2 linked regions of the Saccharomyces cerevisiae S288C genome follow. Changing the gene in region 2 together with the main gene of any one other region gives a genetic interaction. Each region holds a gene or a part of one and is shown on either strand. Other genes may lie near its edges.

Region 1 (2,768 bases), on a different chromosome or scaffold from region 2:
GATTAGGAGAAAAAAATGAGCCACTCGAAGGAGGAAACGCTTTCTTATCCTCGGAATTTGGCTCAGGGTCCTTCGAAGAATCCGTTGTTTGACCATCCATGTCTGGCACACCTTGTGAGACAGCATCACCGACCACGCTGGAAAGGTCATGTATATCGTTGCGTCTGCAATATTCCTCGTCCGCTTCCATATTATTATATGCTGTTGGTTCTATATCATCTAGAGATGAAGTCATAACTATACTTACTTACGGCTGGATTGAGTTGTGTTTTGTACGCCTATGGTCAACAACAAATTTTGCAGTTTTTCGGTTGCAAATAATTTGAATAGGCAATGGGGACTATATTTATTGTCCTACTACGAAGGTTTCAGAGAAGGAACGGCGCAGGCGCACGAGGGCCGGCTGCACAGTATATATGAGCGACGATCTCAAGAACGATATAGGGTTTGACTATCTAACCTACACGCCTGGTTACCAAGTAAAAAGTCCTTTTCTCCCAGAACGGTGCTATTACATATTTATGGATTGCTTACTTGGCAGCTCCTTCTGCAGCAGGCTTTTTCTTCTTCTTAGCATCGATGGTTTCCACTTTGACGTCCTTTAGGCCTTTTTCTTCCAGCAAGGAATGTATGTAAGTTTCCACTTCATCCATCACGTCACCTTGAATGACAACTTCTTCTTTTTTCTCTGCATTTTTCGAGACTGAGCACCCTGTGGCGAACCTAGACGCAAATGTCTTGGCTAGCTTTTTCATGTCGATGTCGAAAACTTCCAGCCCAGAGATAGCGACGATAAACTTTCTCTTGGTCCTAGCTTCTCTTTTAATGATCACTTTCGATGACAGCTTCTTAGCTAATTCTCTTTGTTCCCTGTTTTCCTGTTTTTTTTGAATTTTCAGCAAGTCCTTTTCCAACTTTTCCTCTCTAGCTTCGCCAATACTGGATTCAGCCAGTTTGTTGGTCACGGCTTCCACCTCTTGCGTATTATCGTCAGTACCGTATAGCTTTGCATAAAGGTCTGCGTGGTTTTCAGATAACCAAACTTTACAACGCTTTAATTTTCCTGAAAACTCGCAGTACTCTGGTGGGTAGGAGCAAATTCCACAATAGATGACTTCTCTTAACATTTTATGCAATATGCTTTTCTTTAGTTTAGCTCTTGAACTGTTTCCTTGGGGTGATTTTATCCAGTAGGAATTAATAATTTTTTCACTCACACATCACATCAAGTATCTTTTTCCTTTTTTTTTTCAGCTTTTTTCTCTTTTGGTGGTGCGCTTTTGCATTTTTTTTTTCATATTTACACATTCATTATATGAGTAGATTTATAGAATTGATGTACATGGTGCAAGTTCACGTCAGTCAGTTGTTCTTTTTGTTGGAAACTGTGGGTTGCGTCGGTATCTTAATATCAGTAATAAATTGACCCAGTAGCCACACATTGGTGACGAAAAATAACACGCTTGCAATAAATAGTCCAGGATAGAATACATTCTTGCCTTCGAATTCCAAATAGTAACCTTGGCTTAACCAAATTCCCTGCGTTCCTACCCAAAGCGTGGCCATTAAAAGCCCCTTCTTCCAACCAATGTGCGTTCTTGAGAGGTAAAATGGTAGAAAGATCAGGTACCAAACAAAATATTGCGATGTGCACACTTTATTATATGTCACAAATGCGAACGTCTGCACAAATAAAACCCTCAATAGGTTATCGAATGTGGGATTCCACCATTCAAGACATCCAGTTACTAAAACAAGCAGCAATTGAGGCACAAATGCGTACCTTGAGAGATTGGACTCACCATTTTCCTTATTTGCAGAATCTAAATACAATAGCATGTTCCACACTGAAAAATTGTGTCTGTGATCCGTTCTGTATAAGTGGTACAAGTATGCCTGATCCAGAAACTCGTATCCGTATATCTTGTACATTGCCCAACCACATCCAAGCAAAGTTGTTAGAGTACTCAAACCGATATTGAGTAGCGATGTAAGTTGTGTTCGTGGACCCTGGTTTCTTTTATTGTAGTATATAAAAATTGCTATTGGGATACAATATATGATTGGATATATTTTGAAATGGATAGAAAGACCATATAAGATTCCAGCTAGGGTGTATCTACTCTTTTGTAGAAAAAAAAGCGTGAACATGATCAAACAGCAAAGCACGCTTTCAGCGTTTCCCCTTGTACTGATGGTGATAACCATCGGATTCAATAGCCAAATGCTTTCCAATATTAAAGCTCTTTTTCTGGAGATGGCCTGGTTCAAAAGCTTCATTATAATGAGCCCAGTAACCAAATCGAAAATAACAAATATGACCTTCCCCAAATGAAACCATCCAAAATAATGATTAGGCACTAGCAGCCAACTTAGTAGCGGTGTGTAACGATATGTATCCCTTGCATAAGGTGATTTGCCTTCGTATACATATTTAGCAGCATCATGAAACACAAAATAGTCGATATCAGTGTACCTCACTTTGAAATTAGCGTCCTGGTAAATGCCAAAAAGAAAAAATCCGACTCTTACCAAGAATGACAGTACAGTCAAGCCCCATTCTTCGCCAGTCATCTTTCAACTTTATCACCTTTTACCTTGCTTGTCAGTTGTTGACTTTTTTATGTATATATATTGTGTTTTTTTTTGTCAAGTTCTTACCAACTATTAAAGTTTCTTTTATTATTATCGGAGCCTGTAAAAGAGCTCCACATGTTTCGGTTTACCTCTTGAAAATTGATTGCGAACATAACGAGTCAAGCATGGCA
Region 2 (3,077 bases):
GAAAGCCGAACCAACGGTAGCCCCAGCCTTAACTTTTTACTTGGAGAATGAAATTAAAAGCTTAGAATCATCCAACCATGAATTTTTATTGTCTGCAGTGACTAGAATGTACACACAAATAAAACAAGTGTGGTCTGATAATGTAGAAGAGCAGGTTTTGCACTTCGAAAGAATTTCTAACGCAACCACCAATGGAGAAATTCTTCCAGGTATACTTGATTTACCAGTAGGCTTGAAGAATTCAGAAGATTTGTTCCAATTTGCTAAGAGGTCTATGGATATTAAAGATACCGATGAAGGCTACGAGTCCATCGAATTAATGAATTCGAGCTTCAGGAAGCTAAGCATAGCTGCCACACGATCGATAACTCACAAAGAAGTTAATTCAAGCATTAATCCAAACCTTTCAGATACTGCTGCTTTAAATAATGACTATATGGAAACTATTTCTCTCCTAGTGAACAGTAACTGGCTAACTGAAATGCTTTCCATGTTAAACTTCAATAAGGATGGTATATTTGATACGTCATTGCAAAACGTTAAGAAAGTTTTCGATGTGGAAAAAGAATCTTATGCTTCCTTTCTACTCCGCGATACTATGCCTAAACTAACAGCCTTTGTTTATGGTGTGAGCAACATCATTGAAAATACCAACAATGTGAACATGACCAATCCTTCAAGATGGGCCGCATATAGCAGGCAGAACCTAGAGAACATTCTTTTAGCATACACTTCCCATGAAATTGAAACTCTAGTAAAAAGGCTGCACACTCATATGGTAAATGACTTCGGTTACCACCAAGAAAATGCCATAAACAACGTCCTATGCGATAAGTTGTGGTCGTGCATTCAAGGTCAAACCGTCTCACTATACTTGAAACTATACACTGTAATTGATAAACACTATAGAGGGACAAACATACGCTTCACGAAGAACGATATCATAAGTGCGTTCGAGGAATACAAGAATGCCTAAGTAACCTCTGCATTGTCGCTTCATATTACATATTTAGACTAATTAAGTAAATATTTTGATAAATTTCAATTTCAAATATCGTGTAAAATGATATATTAGTTTTCGAATTTTTTTTTCTGAATATAAAAGGAACAGAATATTAGTTAGCTTCATTGTCCAATTACTATTGTTACTTACGTTTAATGCATTTTCTTTTCTTTCACTTCCTTCCTTAATACTCCATCCTTATGCACGGGAAATACGCATATCAGTGAGGATTCGTCCGAGATTGTGTTTTTGCTGGTTGAAATTTAATTATAAACCAGACCGTCTCCTCATGGTCAATTCGGTGTTCGCTTTTGAATACTTCAAGACTATGTAGGGAATTTTTGGAATACCTTTTTTCATTACCGATATTCATTCTTTCAAAGGGACTGTTTATTTTTCTTTGGAAGTAATATCAAAAAATAGGTTAGGGATACCGGACTGAAACATTCAATTGAGGGCCCAACCATATTTTTCTTTTCTTTTTCACCGAATTCTCTAATGTGAGTTCACGTTATAGAAGCTGGAATTGTAAGTAATACAGAAATGGCAACTAAAATGGTAGGCATGAGTGTTCTCCTTCTTGTGTGTCTTTCTTTTCACCCGATACAGTAAACTTTGTATAGGAGAGTTGACCAATTACCTGACAGTGCCGTCTATAAACGAGACCTCAACTTCACCTCAAAAACCATAATTTTATCTATTGATAATTATCATTATGGTCATTTTCCACTAAATTCATAGTTACCTTACTCTTATGCTTTGTATTTGTAGGTGTAAAAATGACGAAAAATTTAATTATCTGAAAAATTATTGTGTGAAAAAACTTGATTTTGCTATAACCTTATGTAAAACCATATAAAAGACAAAGACGGTAAACTAAAACAGCAGAGAGGAAATGTTTAAGAAGTATGTCTAACATGAGAATGAATATTGCGTAATTCACTGGTTTTACCAGGGGTTAGTGTACACTTTTGACTCAGTAAGCAATTACTAACATCATCATCGATAGATTCACAAGAGAAGATGTCCATTCACGTTCAAAGGTCAAATCTTCAATTCAAAGAACGTTAAAGGCCAAATTGGTCAAGCAGTACCCCAAAATAGAAGATGTTATTGATGAATTAATTCCTAAGAAGAGTCAAATCGAGTTGATTAAATGTGAAGATAAGATCCAATTGTATTCCGTCGATGGTGAAGTTCTTTTTTTTCAAAAATTCGATGAACTGATTCCAAGCCTGAAATTAGTACACAAATTTCCAGAGGCTTATCCCACTGTTCAGGTTGATAGAGGTGCTATTAAATTCGTTCTCTCAGGTGCTAATATCATGTGCCCTGGCCTAACTTCTGCGGGTGCCGACTTACCACCTGCTCCTGGTTACGAGAAAGGTACGATTGTAGTCATCAATGCCGAAAATAAAGAGAATGCATTGGCTATTGGTGAATTGATGATGGGTACTGAAGAAATTAAATCAGTGAACAAAGGTCATTCCATAGAATTGATTCACCATTTGGGCGACCCCTTATGGAACTTCAGCGTTGAGTAACAAACGGAGCCGTCAACACTATATTACTATCCATCTGCTACATAATAAAATAAAGAAACTAAGAAAAAATTAGAATAACATCCGCTTACAATCTAAAAGGCTGTTTCCTGATTTTTAAATATGCAACTAGCCAAGATTAACTATATACTGTGATTACGATGGGCTGTTAACCTTCTGAATGCTCTTGTTATTTACTGGAGACGAAACATGAATAATATCTCCGTTCACAACATTAAAATCTGAAATGGGGCGAAAATTATACTTTATTTCGTTTATCATCCCTTCAGAATTTTCATGAAATAACTTAACATTCAGTATGTCAAAGTTTAGCTTTCGACATATTACACTCTTAACGTACCTTACTGTAAAACTGGGAAGGACCCAATAATCTAAATCACTACTCGGCTTCTTGCCAGCTCTTATCTTTATTTTTAAGACAAGAGATTGCCGTGTTTCTCTTTCATTGTTGAAACTTAGCTTACTCATATCGATTTCATACGACTTTATGAGGCTTGACCAACGCGGCAGAT

Evidence for each region. A genetic interaction does not mean that the proteins touch.
Region 1: of TMA20 (region 2) and TMA22, changing one enhances a phenotype caused by changing the other (phenotypic enhancement), as found in Saccharomyces cerevisiae (one study listed by BioGRID).

Annotation. Positions count from the first base shown.
Region 1 is NC_001142.9:460,188-462,955, reverse strand, and holds TMA22 (Tma22p), read right to left. Parts: upstream 1,128-2,768; coding exon 531-1,127; downstream 1-530. Other genes in the region: YJR015W (uncharacterized protein), read right to left, coding at 1-235; GPI14 (glycosylphosphatidylinositol-alpha 1,4 mannosyltransferase I), read right to left, coding at 1,363-2,574; YJR012C (uncharacterized protein), read left to right, coding at 2,763-2,768.
Region 2 is NC_001137.3:165,707-168,783, reverse strand, and holds TMA20 (translation machinery-associated protein 20), read left to right. Parts: upstream 1-1,898; coding exon 1,899-1,909; intron 1,910-2,012; coding exon 2,013-2,547; downstream 2,548-3,077. Other genes in the region: GTP-Rho binding exocyst subunit SEC3, read left to right, coding at 1-976; PAC2 (Pac2p), read right to left, coding at 2,701-3,077. UniProt on the Saccharomyces cerevisiae protein: Involved in translation.